Arabidopsis thaliana: one gene and its partners. The protein of the gene in region 2 interacts with the protein of the main gene of each other region in a pairwise test. Each region holds a gene or a part of one and is shown on either strand. Other genes may lie near its edges.

Region 1 (3,555 bases), on a different chromosome or scaffold from region 2:
CAGAAGCGTTAGGGTTTTTGCATTTGGTTGCAGCTTTTGAATTAGGGTCTTTATTTAGTACTGAGGAGATTTGTGATTACATTTTCTTGATCTCTAAGTATAAACAAGCAACAACGATCTGCAAGAAGATTGGTTTAGATAGAAATCGAATAGGAGTTCTCGTTCAGAAGTTTTTGGATACTGGGAGATTACTTGTTGCTATTAGATTCATTTACGAGAATGAGATGGTGGGTGAATTTGAACCAGTTTCGATTTTGAAAACTAGTTTGAAGAACTCTAGAGAAGCTGCTAAGAGAGTTTGTGCTGAAGGGAATTACTCTCTTAAGGTGCAGAACGAAGCTACTGATAAAGAACTAAGTGCTTTGAGAGCAGTTATCAAAGTCGTGAAAGAGAAAAACATCGAGTCCGAGTTCATGGAAGAGAAACTCGAAGAATGTGTTAAGGAGTTGGAGGATCAGAAAGCTCAGAGGAAGCGTGCCACTAAGTTCAATTCACCTGCTAATCCCCAACAACCACAAGAACAAAAGGTCGATAATAAGCGTCCTCGAGTTGCTAATGGTTCAAGTATGGAATATAATTTGACAATCCCACCTCTGAGGCCGCAACAACAACCACCACTTTTGCCTACTCCTAGTCAGATTTTACAAGTGAACCCATATGGTCTTTTAAGCTCAATACTTCCTGGTGTTGCTGTCCCATATGGCAACCCAAGGGCTCTATTTGGCTCGGTTCCAGCTCCAGCTTCTCGACCCGTCTTTTATGTGCAGCAAACTGGTTATGGGATGCCACCACCTCAGTACCGCCCACCGTACTATCCTCAGTAGCATCTCTCTATTGGTAAGATTTATTATAGGAATGCAAGCGATATTGAGAAGATTTCTGCTCGAACAGGTCTATGCTCTCTATGTGTTTTTGATGTTCAGTAATGAATATCAAGTAAATTTCGAGAGTTTTGACATAGATAACACTTGATATAGTCGCTGTTTGGGGGATAACATAAGAGCAAATTGATCCGTTTTTTCTTTTTTTGTTTACCTGGTGAAGCGACTATAGAGGATTTTGCCTTGATTGTACAGTTTTATAACCTAACCTTAACCTCTTTTTAATTTAGTTTAGTTTACTTGTGGAGGAATGGTCTTTATGGTTTTGATCTAACATTTATATTCCTTGATTTGTTAGGTAATCTTCCAAGATTTCCTCCCTTTTTTCTTATAATCACCAAAGATCCCTTTTGGTTTGATTTGTTGTAGTGGGAAGAAATCTACGTGTCTGGATATCTAAAATGATCCAAAGGATAATATTCAACTAGCACAGAAACAGAAATAGTTTTTTTTTCATTAAACTATTTAAGTTTACAAAAGGATATGCTTATGGTTTTTCTGATGGAACAGAAAATTAATATTGTCATTTCAATGGAGAAGGAACATGTTCGATGAGCAAAAAAAAGAAAAAACAGAACATGTTCTTTGTTTTACAGTTGTACCCATACTGATCAGAATAAGCCAATCAACGGGGTGTCTGAATCCACGTATACAGTATCTATCTCTAAAAATATTTATTTCCTTTAAAGAAAATATTTAATAGTTATGGCTTATGGGCCTGAGAGGTTTATCATGACGCCCATATATATCTCACGCGTTGTCCTCGTCTTCTCCGTCTTACACTGATTTAATTCTCCTACCAATCTCAACTTCCGACGTCTATTCATCATGGGTTTGAAGGTACGTTCAGATCCAAAATGAACCAAACCGATCTCGGTTTCGGTTTATTACTACTCGGATCTTAGTTTTGTTTGTGTTCACCATTCCTGAATTCTATATTTTCTGTGTTGGTAGCCTTGTTTGATCCAGATTTGCAGATATATAGGTTCCTTATAGTTACGAAATTGAAGCTTGTATAGTCAAGAATGATCACTTTATGGAATTGAATTATTACTGATCACGCTTTTTCTCTGTATGATTTTGTCCATTTACTGTTCTTATAACTGATTTGTTAAACACTGTTTGCTGATGGGTAATATAGTTTTGAATCTGAGCTAGGTTTGGTTTTATTGAGTTTTGTTTGATTATTGTATCCCGATTGAGAATTTTAAGTAGTAATATGTTTGATGGTGTATTAGGCTATTAAGAATCTTTTCTTCGAATTTGTTGTTTCACTGATTTATATATCTGCAGGAGGAATTTGAGGAGCACGCTGAGAAAGTGAATACGCTCACGGAGTTGCCATCCAACGAGGATTTGCTCATTCTCTACGGACTCTACAAGCAAGCCAAGTTTGGGCCTGTGGACACCAGTTAATATTTTTGTCTGAATATTAACATCCTCTATTTTTGCTTCTTAGTTCACTTTTCTGTAATGTTGTTAATAATGTGTATTTGTTTATTGATTGATTCAAAGGTCGTCCTGGAATGTTCAGCATGAAGGAGAGAGCCAAGTGGGATGCTTGGAAGGCTGTTGAAGGTACAAAAACAATTCAAGTGATCAACTTTTTTAGCTTAGTGATTTGTTTGTAATTTGGATTCTTGTCTCAAGTTCAACAATTTTTTGTGCTTGGGGAATTGAATTTGAACTTTTCTTTGTTTATGATGTCAGGGAAATCATCGGAAGAAGCCATGAATGACTATATCACTAAGGTCAAGCAACTCTTGGAAGTTGCTGCTTCCAAGGCTTCAACCTGATGAATCAAATCCTCATCTGCAGTAACTTTATCTTAAGCATCAAAATAACATTGCATAAGACTTGTTCTTGCTCTTGTGTTTCTATCATATTTAAGCTATCTACTTTGTGACATGGTGTGATCTCTTAAAAATGCTTGATATTGGTTAAAACAGAGAATCATGATGCAAACTAAATCCATAAGTTATTTTTGGTCCGTCCTCGATATGGTCTTAGTTAAAACAGTTGAATTCAAGATGATATATTCGTTCTGGTCCGTAGGTCTTTTTCTTCATGGTCCATCGCATTCACCACTCACTAGAAAACTTTCGTTTTATTTCAATTTGGAGTACATAAGACAAAAGCTGGAAAAAAAAAGAACGTGGCAGATTTTTTATTTATTTTTTTCGTCTCGAACATTGGCAGAATTGTTCAAATTGTATGTGGTTTATTTAAAGTCAAATTCGTAAATAAATAGACGTTTAGTTTTAAAGTGTCTACAAATTTGAGGTTTATAATTTGGTAGATGACAAAAACAATAGTTTTTTTATTGAGTTGATCATAATTACTTTTATTTTTTATTGATTGTAGATTAACTTCCTTCCCTTAATGATAATCTCTTAACCGTGATTCAAGAAATTAAATAATATTGTAGAATATTAAAATAATTAATTGTATGTTGAACATACTAATATTTAGTATTATGATAATCTCTTTATCAAAATTATACATCTAGAATTTTTATATTAAATGCATTGTGTTTTTCAATTGAAAATTAAACGATATAAATATATAGTATATGCACTTTAACATAACAAATTCTTTTATATATTTTAATATAAGTGAAATAATTAATCTATATATACATTTTTGTAGGAGGTTTTTGAAGATAATGTTGAAG
Region 2 (7,754 bases):
AGTCCTAAGCTCTTCTTCACACTGGACATATTTCTTCATCAATTCTTCATAACTCATTTGTTTCTCCGGGGATAAGTCATGGCTATCCATTGACCCTGGTGATACGAGGTGATGGTTAAAAGATGAGTAAAAGGCCTCCGTGTCCGAATCTAAATCGGAATAAGAAGAGTTAGAATCATGATTGCCAGAAACATCAGAACTTCCTTGGTCAAAGTTGGAAGCTACTGTATCAGACTTTGGAGTTACAGGAGGTGAAGATCCATTGTGATCTGAAACTTGACAATTGATATGTCTAATAAGATTTCTACGTTTGAACGGAAACGCACACAACCAAAATAAGACATGAATGAATTATACGGTTATACCTGTTGAGATGTCCACAAAGGAATTCGAATTATGTGGCCACTCATCTGGGACCTCAACTGTTGTAAAATCCATTACACTTAAACAACAAAAAGCGAATCAACTTAAAAATGATCAAGCAAAAAAAAATCAAAGAAACGTAAACATAGAATGATGTAACAGAAAAACCCTAAAAATACAGAAGATATACGAGATATAAAAACTGGTAAGATTTTTATTTACTTTTTTTTTTTTTATACTCCTAAGATTTAGCTATAACTAAACGTATTTATATTTTTTGACCAAAAAAAAAAAAAACGTATTTATATTTATCTCTACAATAATTTCGATTAAAAATATCTAACAAAAAAAAAAGTTGTGATAATAATCAGTGGAAAACTATCATGAAGAGACAAGCTAATGTTCTTTAATTGAAATCTTAGAAAATAAAAAAACTAGGGTTGCGTAAATTTTAAGACTTTCTTATGTCACAGAACTGAACTTTTTTCACTACATGTAAACAGAAATTATAACTCATTTGCAACGGTGAAGAAACATAGACAAAGACCCTCCATAAATCTCAGAAAAACAGAGCAAGTAACTCAGATCATAAGATCTACAAAACACATCAACGGAACAAACAAATATCAAACCCTGAAATCTGATTCACATAGGACCAAATAAACATGAGATTTCACTGACCTTGAAAATTGATATGATCGAGGGAACAAAAGAGCAGATTTACAGGAAAAGTGAAGGAGAAACAAAGGAAGGTTTAAGTAGAGGATTGCTAGGGTACGAGAGTTACGAAGCAGAAGGTGGAAAGGTTTAAAGGGACGACAAAGAGGAGGGAAGATTTGTCGGATAGCGAAGAGAAAGTGGCGCTCTTTGGGATTCAAATGTTTGCCATTTTCTTCTTTTGTCTATCTGACAGTCTGTTCTTTGCTGCACTAGTGGCCACACATCTCCACATGCACCACCAGTTATCAAAGTTTGACCTATTAATTATTGGGTTCGGTTCGATTCAATTTTCTCTCGTAAATAACGTAAACCGAACATATACCAATTTTGTCTGCAAAGTCCAACAAACCCATTTTCTCGATTCTGTTGGGCTTGATGATACTAGAGTTGGACCTTTATTTTTTCAGCCCGCTGGTTTTAGCCTATTTTGATATACTAGTAAGTAAAGCATCACTATCAATATATTTTGATTTATTCATTGGACTAATCCGTTGATTAATTAATATTTTGAAGTTTTATTTTTGTCGGCAAATACTTTTTAAGTTTTATCTGTAAGAAAGTTAGTGACGATGAATATCCTTTACCCCACTACTTGTGATTTGTTGTGTTCTTCACACTTCTATTTTAGTTATATCACTATCAAATATCAATTACTATTTTGATTTAGTCACTAATTCGATGATAATATATTTCTAAGGATATTTTAAAGGTTTATCGGCCGTTTTTTCACTTTTTTTACAGCCACTGTAAAACTGTAACTAGAAAAAAATCGACTGTGGAAGTTGTCGGTGGTGGTGGTGGTTGTTGCTTGGTTGGATTATGATTTGTGACAAATATATTAATATTTTAAAAATCTGGAAGAGTGACGAGTAGAGGAGACAAATAGCTTGCTCTTTGCATCTTCTTAGCCATCCCAAGATTCTCCTCTTCGTCTTCCTTATAAACTATCTCTCTGTAGAGAAGAAAGCTTGGATCCAGATTGAGAGAGATTCAGAGAGTCACATCACCACACTCCATCTTCAGATCTCATGGTAAAGCTTTTAACTCTTCTTACACTCATGATCCATTCTCAGATTTGACTTCCTTTACTCGGATCTCCTCAGATCTAATCGTAGTTTCTGTTTTTGATAATTCCGATCAGATTTGAACTATTCCGACGTTTCGGTGTTGGAAGCAACTAAGTGACAAATGGAATCCGAAGGAGAAACCGCGGTATGCTTTTTTGACTCTTGCTTCATCATTATACTTACCTTTATCGAAATCAGGAATTATATGTACTGAAATTGATTGATTTGGGTGTTGAATTGTGTATTGGAGAGATCTGATTTCAAATTTTCTGTTGAGGTTTCTAATTTTGGCTTCATTGATTCGACTTGATTTGTAGGGAAAGCCGATGAAGAACATTGTTCCGCAGACTTGCCAGATCTGTAGTGACAATGTTGGCAAGACTGTTGATGGAGATCGTTTTGTGGCTTGTGATATTTGTTCATTCCCAGTTTGTCGGCCTTGCTACGAGTATGAGAGGAAAGATGGGAATCAATCTTGTCCTCAGTGCAAAACCAGATACAAGAGGCTCAAAGGTTCTCTTTTGATCCTTCTGAAGTATACTGTCTTCATTGTTCATCGATAGTTTATCAGTATGTTTTGAATTTTGGATCAGATTGGTATTTATAGCAATTTGCTAATTTCTGATTCTAGGTAGTCCTGCTATTCCTGGTGATAAAGACGAGGATGGCTTAGCTGATGAAGGTACTGTTGAGTTCAACTACCCTCAGAAGGAGAAAATTTCAGAGCGGATGCTTGGTTGGCATCTTACTCGTGGGAAGGGAGAGGAAATGGGGGAACCCCAGTATGATAAAGAGGTCTCTCACAATCATCTTCCTCGTCTCACGAGCAGACAAGATGTAAGGCATTGCTGTTCATTCTTCCCTCTTAAGCATTCGCATCCTCACGCAATTTAGTTTTGGAATCTGATTTTGTCATTTGCTTATTTACAGACTTCAGGAGAGTTTTCTGCTGCCTCACCTGAACGCCTCTCTGTATCTTCTACTATCGCTGGGGGAAAGCGCCTTCCCTATTCATCAGATGTCAATCAATCACGTAAATATCCTTTATTTCTAACTCTCTCGCCAACACATATATTTGTACCTAGGCTTCTCTTTTATGTCAAAACTCTAAACAATAAAATCTGTTGTTGTCATTCACGCTGCAGCAAATAGAAGGATTGTGGATCCTGTTGGACTCGGGAATGTAGCTTGGAAGGAGAGAGTTGATGGCTGGAAAATGAAGCAAGAGAAGAATACTGGTCCTGTCAGCACGCAGGCTGCTTCTGAAAGAGGTGGAGTAGATATTGATGCCAGCACAGATATCCTAGCAGATGAGGCTCTGCTGTGAGTTCTTGTTTTGTAATCTTGTTTGTTCTGTCGTGGTGTACCGAGCGTTTTTCCTATTAAGCAATGTCCTGATACTCATTTTCCAATTCTTTATTTATTGTACAGGAATGACGAAGCGAGGCAGCCTCTGTCAAGGAAAGTTTCAATTCCTTCATCACGGATCAATCCTTACAGAATGGTTATTATGCTGCGGCTTGTTATCCTTTGTCTCTTCTTGCATTACCGTATAACAAACCCAGTGCCAAATGCCTTTGCTCTATGGCTGGTCTCTGTGATATGTGAGATCTGGTTTGCCTTATCCTGGATTTTGGATCAGTTTCCCAAGTGGTTTCCTGTGAACCGTGAAACCTACCTCGACAGGCTTGCTTTAAGGTAAGTTCTATTTCCCCATTCTTCTGAAGCAATTACTCAAAGGATTGTTTGCCTATACTGTTTCCCATTTTAATTTGATCATGGTCAATTTTTGGGACAGATATGATCGTGAAGGTGAGCCATCACAGTTAGCTGCTGTTGACATTTTCGTGAGTACTGTTGACCCCTTGAAGGAGCCACCCCTTGTGACAGCCAACACAGTGCTCTCTATTCTGGCTGTTGACTACCCAGTTGACAAGGTGTCCTGTTATGTTTCTGATGATGGTGCTGCTATGTTATCATTTGAATCACTTGCAGAAACATCAGAGTTTGCTCGTAAATGGGTACCATTTTGCAAGAAATATAGCATAGAGCCTCGTGCACCAGAATGGTACTTTGCTGCGAAAATAGATTACTTGAAGGATAAAGTTCAGACATCATTTGTCAAAGATCGTAGAGCTATGAAGGTAAGTTTGTAGTTTTAGTCATCTAGTCACCCTCACTTTGATTTTAGTGTATGCTATATTGACCTTTTATTTTCTTTCAGAGGGAATATGAGGAATTTAAAATCCGAATCAATGCACTTGTTTCCAAAGCCCTAAAATGTCCTGAAGAAGGGTGGGTTATGCAAGATGGCACACCGTGGCCTGGAAATAATACAAGGGACCATCCAGGAATGATCCAGGTAAGAAATTGGTTTTAACTATGGAATCGAGAATGCTCTCTCTTTCTCTCTAGAAGTTCATTATTGAAGTACCATTTGCTGAATGCAGGTCTTCTTAGGGCAAAATGGTGGACTTGATGCAGAGGGCAATGAGCTCCCGCGTTTGGTATATGTTTCTCGAGAAAAGCGACCAGGATTCCAGCACCACAAAAAGGCTGGTGCTATGAATGCACTGGTAAGTTTCTGATCTTGGATTTTTGACTTCTTCATTCTGACCAATTTGTTAGTCTAATCTGGGTACTTTTCAAATGAATAGGTGAGAGTTTCAGCAGTTCTTACCAATGGACCTTTCATCTTGAATCTTGATTGTGATCATTACATAAATAACAGCAAAGCCTTAAGAGAAGCAATGTGCTTCCTGATGGACCCAAACCTCGGGAAGCAAGTTTGTTATGTTCAGTTCCCACAAAGATTTGATGGTATCGATAAGAACGATAGATATGCTAATCGTAATACCGTGTTCTTTGATGTAAGTCACACTTACCTATACTTGCGTCTAATTTTCTTGTTCTTTCAAATTGCTTTTAGACACGAATATACATTAAACTCACAGTTTCTTGAGTTTGTCGTAATTTTTCCATGATATGTTTTCCAGATTAACTTGAGAGGTTTAGATGGGATTCAAGGACCTGTATATGTCGGAACTGGATGTGTTTTCAACAGAACAGCATTATACGGTTATGAACCTCCAATAAAAGTAAAACACAAGAAGCCAAGTCTTTTATCTAAGCTCTGTGGTGGATCAAGAAAGAAGAATTCCAAAGCTAAGAAAGAGTCGGACAAAAAGAAATCAGGCAGGCATACTGACTCAACTGTTCCTGTATTCAACCTCGATGACATAGAAGAGGGAGTTGAAGGTACAACTGTTTTTATTTCTTCTTTGGTTTCCGTTATACCCATATGTTGCTGTTTGAAATATTGATCCAGGGGAGGGGATTATTTATAGTTGACAGTTGTCTAAATAGTTTCCATACTAGGTATCTCATCATGTCTTAACTATTTGGCATTTGTGAAACTTAGGTGCTGGTTTTGATGATGAAAAGGCGCTCTTAATGTCGCAAATGAGCCTGGAGAAGCGATTTGGACAGTCTGCTGTTTTTGTTGCTTCTACCCTAATGGAAAATGGTGGTGTTCCTCCTTCAGCAACTCCAGAAAACCTTCTCAAAGAGGCTATCCATGTCATTAGTTGTGGTTATGAGGATAAGTCAGATTGGGGAATGGAGGTATAATCTCATTTGAACTCCTACATGAATCTGCATTGTTCTGACATATCCACTTTGGCATTCACTTTGTTTATATTTTCCGCTGTCTTTCTTCAGATTGGATGGATCTATGGTTCTGTGACAGAAGATATTCTGACTGGGTTCAAAATGCATGCCCGTGGATGGCGATCCATTTACTGCATGCCTAAGCTTCCAGCTTTCAAGGGTTCTGCTCCTATCAATCTTTCAGATCGTCTGAACCAAGTGCTGAGGTGGGCTTTAGGTTCAGTTGAGATTCTCTTCAGTCGGCATTGTCCTATATGGTATGGTTACAATGGGAGGCTAAAATTTCTTGAGAGGTTTGCGTATGTGAACACCACCATCTACCCTATCACCTCCATTCCTCTTCTCATGTATTGTACATTGCCAGCCGTTTGTCTCTTCACCAACCAGTTTATTATTCCTCAGGTTTGACACCTCTCTCTGTCTATCTATCTCTATCTCTATCTCTATCTCTAGAACAAACCTTAATTACGTTCTGTTTAACTGAAACCATGTTGTGTTTGTCATCTATTTACGGTTCCAAATCCTGATCAGCTGGTTCTATTGTTCCTCTTTTGCAGATTAGTAACATTGCAAGTATATGGTTTCTGTCTCTCTTTCTCTCCATTTTCGCCACGGGTATACTAGAAATGAGGTGGAGTGGCGTAGGCATAGACGAATGGTGGAGAAACGAGCAGTTTTGGGTCATTGGTGGAGTATCCGCTCATTTATTCGCTGTGTTTCAAGGTATCCTCAAAGTCCTTGCCGGTATTGACACAAACTTCACAGTTACCTCAAAAGCTTCAGATGAAGACGGAGACTTTGCTGAGCTCTACTTGTTCAAATGGACAACACTTCTGATTCCGCCAACGACGCTGCTCATTGTAAACTTAGTGGGAGTTGTTGCAGGAGTCTCTTATGCTATCAACAGTGGATACCAATCATGGGGACCACTCTTTGGTAAGTTGTTCTTTGCCTTCTGGGTGATTGTTCACTTGTACCCTTTCCTCAAGGGTTTGATGGGTCGACAGAACCGGACTCCTACCATTGTTGTGGTCTGGTCTGTTCTCTTGGCTTCTATCTTCTCGTTGTTGTGGGTTAGGATTGATCCCTTCACTAGCCGAGTCACTGGCCCGGACATTCTGGAATGTGGAATCAACTGTTGAGAAGCGAGCAAATATTTACCTGTTTTGAGGGTTAAAAAAAACACAGAATTTAAATTATTTTTCATTGTTTTATTTGTTCACTTTTTTACTTTTGTTGTGTGTATCTGTCTGTTCGTTCTTCTGTCTTGGTGTCATAAATTTATGTGTAGAATATATCTTACTCTAGTTACTTTGGAAAGTTATAATTAAAGTGAAAGCGAATATTTTTTTGTTTCTGTAGTTAAAGCAGTGGTTATGATTTTTCAATTTTCATTAGTGAAAGCAGTTACGTTTGATCATAAGCACTAAACTACGATGCAAAGAGAAATTATTTTTAACTGGGATTCAAAAGTAATAAGATAGAAGTAGAATTGATCAAAGAAACTTTTGGTCGGAATGAGGAATCATTCAGAGACATTGGAAGTAGCCTCTGAGGATGTTCTGTTTTGCTGTAACTGCTGAGACTGATCCAATCTCCTCACATCTTCAATCATCCTCGCGACCTCTTCCATCTTTGGCCTCGATTCTGGATTCCTTGCAACACAGGCCAACGCTAGCTGAAGCATCTGAACCATCTCCTCTTCAATGTTCTGAAACTTCAAGAGCTCCACATCGAAAACCTCTGCAGTCCACTCTTCTCTCACAACAGACCGAACCCATCTCGGAAGATCAATGACGACACGCTCATCCTCGAGACCAGGCTGAGTTAAAGGTGTCTTCCCGGTTAGCATTTCGAGAATCACCACACCAAAGCTATAAACGTCTGATCTTTGACTGACTCTCCTCGTCTCAATAACTTCAGGAGCATTGTAGC
Region 3 (4,697 bases), on a different chromosome or scaffold from region 2:
TATATGTTTTAAATGATTTATACTGTAATATTTATTATTGTCATTTTTGTTTGTTACATACGTCTTCGAATTATCACATTAAAAGAGAAAATTATTCTAACGATTATATATTTTCCCAAGACTGCACCCAATGTTAAATCTGATATGGAAAATAATTTTCTTACAACTTTCAGATTTATTTTAAATATAAAAGTTAAGCAAAAACTATAATATATATATATTTGAGATTTCTATATGAGATAAAGTTCTAAAATAAATTAAAGTTTACAAAGGCAGAGAAATGAAGATTCATAATTAGGTCAGGTGCTAAGCACAATCCTCCTCTAAGAAAATTTTGGTCGATACATTTTTAGCTGCAGTATTTTATTTCACCATAAGAATTAGTAACATGTTGGAAACAAAACGTACCTGAGATCAAAAGAAGAGCTAGACAGAGAAATGTTAGACCATTTTTTTCTTCGATCAACAATGTCTCTCTATATATACCACATTTTATACTATTCCCTAATATGTAAAACGATATTGCCATTTGTCATGTGATTATTATTAGGGTGGGATTATCTTTGATTATCTTTTTGTTATAAAGTCAATGCGACAGTAATATGAAAGACACAAGGACGCGGATACAAATTATAATCTATAAGAAAAGAAAAAAAATTATTTTTAAAAGGGCTAAAAGAAAACAAGGTTATTCAAATAATATTGACAAATTACACTTCTCGACAAATTTTTCTGTGTTTTTTGGTTTCTCTATTCGCTCAGATTTTGTGAAACGTCTCTTCTGATTTTTTATTTTTTCCTATCGATCGGCCAAAGGTTTTTGAATAGTCACTTTAAGATTCATTTCCAATCGAGGCCAAAGGTTTATCAAGAGTCGATAGAATCTGCGGCATTGACATTCCCCCGGAAACAACAATCTCTGCAGATGAAGAATGAGTATACAGTGTTCAGTATCTTTCCACAAAATAATTTGAATGCTATATAACAAACGATAAATGTATCTAGTATAGACAATTAGATTCTGAAATCTCACCAATTCCTTCCCGGACAGAGAGGTTTGGCCTGATAACGTCATTACTGTTGACAAGTAGTATATCTCCAATGTAAAGGTGGTTCGTGGGAACGTATACACAGCAAAGTTCCTCCTCGGTTGGGTAGTTCTGCAAGAACGAATAGCATTATTACATTGGGTAAAAAGATTACGAAATTATGGTAAACCATATAACTCGAAATTGTTTGTATCCTCAAGGAGACGTTCTGGAAAGAATAACAAAATCCTTGAGCAAAGTATTTTCACTCACCTGGAGAACAACAGTTGATGTAATGAAGCCAAATGCATATTCACCTACACGGGGATGCCTGATGATTGCAACTTCCTTGAAAGCTTGTGTATTTTGATCTGTGATGAGAAATGGATAAGAACAAGATGAGATAGGAGATCAACTTAATGTTGAGAAGCAAAACAAGATTTTTATAAGCAAGCTAGACCAGGCGATATGGCAGTGCTGATTTGCTTGGAGGCGTTGTAGATGTGACGAACAAATGGCATCCGCTTGATAAACCACTCTCCCAAGTTCAGAACCGATGCCCCCAACCACGAAGACATGAACACCCCAACCAAGAAGATGAATGCAATGGAAGTCAAAAAACCGAAACCTACAAAACAATAATCAAACTCATTGTGGGAAACCGATATCAAGTTGTTAATAGGATAAAGAGGGGCCATTCAAATTCTTACCAAATATGTTGATTCCAAGTAGTGCATATATTGGAGAGAAGAATCCATCGACAAAGTGAATAAACCACCATGTTGTATAGAAAGTAACTGCAATAGGAAGTAGGATAACACTGCAAAAAGCAATGGAGACTTAAAACTAATCTGTGGAAGTTTTCATCAAATGCCAAAATTTCAACTCTTCCTTACCAGCCTGTCATGAACTTCTTTGACGCCCAACCCCTAATGAACAAGCTTAAAGTCTGCAGAAAAGAGCTAAAGCATCAGGCCACAATGCTCTATAAGTTATACATGCTTGAAAACATGAATGAGCATAATACAAAGACTCAAGAATCTGAATGATTCCAACCACAACAACTTGGAATGCAAATTCATACTCTACTCAATCACAACTACCAAACTTATCTAAGCAAGTGTTCTTGTGATATACTGAATCTAGGGCAAAACAAGTTCCAAGATTTTGAACTAAGGGGAGACAGAATCGACCAAATCTATGAATAACTATCATCCAATTCTACTGTTAGTTTCGCATGAATCTTGAAATGAGAAAACGAAGAACACGTTTTTAGATCAGGTGACAAAAACTAGACCTCGTGGCCGGATTGATGCGAAGAAGAAGCAGAGGAAGAAGAAGAAGGCTTCGAAGAAGAACCATCGTCTTTGTCGCCGAAATCAGCGACGGGAATCAGAAGCTCTCGATCTCTTTCTCGATTGGCCATAACAATTGTCGTGTAAAGAGAGATAAAACCCTAAACCTAGAAACTCACCGAGAGTTCGAAGATTGTAAATCACAATCTAGAAGCTAGTTGCGAAACAGAAGAACCACCTCGAAGATCCTGAGATTTGATGATGATGATTGTGATGATGATGAATGACAGATAGAGAAGACGATGAAATTGATTTTTGATTCGATTTCCCCAAATGGCAAAAGAAAAGTTCCTTACCTGTACCGATTGACCGTACCAACTACCAAACCAACGAATTGACTTTTACAAAACTTAAACCGAAATTAAAGATAATTAAACCGAGTTATTGAACTAAACCAGATAATAGCTTAGGTTGAATCAGTTTTAAAAAAATTTGCGATACCTAAGGCCCACTAAGTTTTTCACATCGTAAAAAGGCCTAAAATAATAAGCCCACTTTAATCATCTCCTCCCGTTATCAGATTAAAAGATTTGTTTCTCCGAGAGCAAGAAACCTCAGAGAGACGAAGCACAATGGGTCAAGGACCTTCCGGCGGATTGAATCGGCAAGGAGATCGGAAACCAGATGGTGGAGAGAAGAAGGAGAAGAAGTTCGAACCAGCCGCACCACCTGCTCGTGTAGGGAGGAAGCAACGGAAGCAGAAAGGACCTGAAGCGGCGGCGAGATTGCCGACGGTGACTCCTTCTACTAAATGTAAGCTTCGATTGCTGAAATTGGAGCGAATCAAGGACTATTTGCTTATGGAGGAAGAGTTCGTAGCGAATCAGGAGAGATTGAAACCTCAGGAAGAGAAAGCTGAGGAAGATAGATCTAAAGTTGATGATCTTCGTGGTACACCTATGAGTGTTGGCAATCTTGAAGAGCTTATTGATGAGAATCACGCCATTGTTTCTTCTTCGGTTGGTCCTGAGTACTACGTTGGCATTTTGTCTTTCGTTGATAAGGATCAGCTTGAACCTGGCTGCTCTATTTTGATGCATAACAAGGTATTGAGTTTTACAATGCTCTTCCATGGAAACGTTGAACCAATTCTTCTATGTGATATTTTTTATTATTTTTGTGATAGGTACTCTCTGTTGTTGGGATTCTTCAAGATGAAGTGGATCCAATGGTGTCTGTGATGAAAGTGGAGAAGGCTCCTTTGGAGTCATATGCTGACATTGGAGGTTTAGAAGCTCAGATTCAGGAGATTAAGGAAGCTGTTGAGTTACCTTTAACACATCCCGAGCTGTATGAAGATATTGGAATTAAGCCACCAAAAGGTGTGATCTTGTATGGTGAGCCAGGCACTGGGAAGACATTGCTTGCTAAGGTTCGTCTTTTAGCCTATAGTGTATCCATTATATAATAAGCTTTCTAGTTGTTAATTGCTTAATACAGCACATAATGGTACTTCCCAAGTATGATTGGTTTTATGTCAAGTCATGCATGCAAAATTTTCTGTCTTTTATCAATCTTCACTAGAAAGATGAATTAGTCAGGACAGTGGCTTCTTTGGTTTGATCACCTAGAATTGAGATATTAGATCATAGTACTTGTGTAGATAGAGGAAGATTTTCAGAGTCACGTGGATTGATTTAATGTCTTCGTTTTCTTTTTGTCTATGTCGCAAGCATGGATTGTTGCAGTGTGCCTCTTTTTAATGTGTCTCTTATGCTTGTTAAATTCGGAACTGTTGGAGATGAGCAAGTGTTATTTCTTGTTATTCTTTCAGGCAGTGGCAAATTCTACTTCAGCTACTTTCTTGCGTGTTGTCGGTAGTGAACTGATTCAGAAGTATTTAGGAGATGGTCCCAAGCTTGTGAGGGAACTTTTCAGGGTTGCTGATGACCTTTCTCCTTCTATTGTTTTCATAGACGAGATTGATGCTGTTGGCACCAAGCGGTATGCCTAAATACAACATAAACATGATCCATTGATAAACAATGTTCTTGATTTTGCTCAAGAGATGGTATCTAATATGTGATATAAAATGGTGGTTGAAACAGGTATGACGCAAACTCAGGTGGGGAACGTGAAATCCAAAGAACCATGTTGGAACTACTGAACCAGCTTGATGGGTTTGATTCAAGAGGAGATGTTAAGGTTATTCTCGCGACAAACAGGATCGAGAGTCTTGACCCGGCACTTCTTAGACCAGGCCGGATCGACAGGAAAATCGAATTCCCTCTTCCAGATATCAAAACAAGAAGACGTATCTTCCAGGTTCCACAACTGGTGATCCTTAAGTTTTCTTTCTTTTTTTGTGAATTTT

Evidence for each region. The genes of interacting proteins can lie anywhere in the genome.
Region 1: the proteins of CEV1 (region 2) and ACBP6 interact in a protein complementation assay, tested with the Arabidopsis thaliana proteins (one large-scale study listed by BioGRID).
Region 3: the proteins of CEV1 (region 2) and LCV1 interact in a two-hybrid assay, tested with the Arabidopsis thaliana proteins (one large-scale study listed by BioGRID).

The regions. Positions count from the first base shown.
Region 1 is NC_003070.9:11,410,254-11,413,808, reverse strand, and holds ACBP6 (acyl-CoA-binding protein 6), read left to right. Parts: upstream 1-1,575; 5' UTR 1,576-1,709; coding exon 1,710-1,721; intron 1,722-2,174; coding exon 2,175-2,292; intron 2,293-2,396; coding exon 2,397-2,459; intron 2,460-2,591; coding exon 2,592-2,677; 3' UTR 2,678-3,043; downstream 3,044-3,555. Other genes in the region: FRL2 (FRIGIDA like 2), read left to right, coding at 1-824. UniProt on the Arabidopsis thaliana protein: Binds medium- and long-chain acyl-CoA esters with very high affinity. May function as an intracellular carrier of acyl-CoA esters. Confers resistance to cold and freezing.
Region 2 is NC_003076.8:1,529,608-1,537,361, reverse strand, and holds CEV1 (Cellulose synthase family protein), read left to right. Parts: upstream 1-1,803; 5' UTR 1,804-2,114; intron 2,115-2,224; 5' UTR 2,225-2,271; coding exon 2,272-2,295; intron 2,296-2,467; coding exon 2,468-2,663; intron 2,664-2,781; coding exon 2,782-2,987; intron 2,988-3,080; coding exon 3,081-3,183; intron 3,184-3,295; coding exon 3,296-3,473; intron 3,474-3,581; coding exon 3,582-3,848; intron 3,849-3,948; coding exon 3,949-4,294; intron 4,295-4,374; coding exon 4,375-4,512; intron 4,513-4,600; coding exon 4,601-4,726; intron 4,727-4,807; coding exon 4,808-5,020; intron 5,021-5,146; coding exon 5,147-5,408; intron 5,409-5,571; coding exon 5,572-5,774; intron 5,775-5,870; coding exon 5,871-6,221; intron 6,222-6,376; coding exon 6,377-6,961; 3' UTR 6,962-7,230; downstream 7,231-7,754. Other genes in the region: AT5G05180 (myosin heavy chain, striated protein), read right to left, coding at 1-269, 366-438; RUL1 (Leucine-rich repeat protein kinase family protein), read right to left, coding at 7,345-7,754. UniProt on the Arabidopsis thaliana protein: Catalytic subunit of cellulose synthase terminal complexes ('rosettes'), required for beta-1,4-glucan microfibril crystallization, a major mechanism of the cell wall formation. Involved in the primary cell wall formation, especially in roots.
Region 3 is NC_003071.7:8,689,781-8,694,477, forward strand, and holds LCV1 (uncharacterized protein), read right to left. Parts: upstream 2,711-4,697; 5' UTR 2,455-2,710; coding exon 2,326-2,454; intron 1,978-2,325; coding exon 1,925-1,977; intron 1,849-1,924; coding exon 1,739-1,848; intron 1,657-1,738; coding exon 1,489-1,656; intron 1,400-1,488; coding exon 1,302-1,399; intron 1,161-1,301; coding exon 1,034-1,160; intron 920-1,033; coding exon 834-919; 3' UTR 513-833; downstream 1-512. Other genes in the region: RPT2b (AAA-type ATPase family protein), read left to right, coding at 2,956-3,429, 3,510-3,755, 4,158-4,327, 4,432-4,648.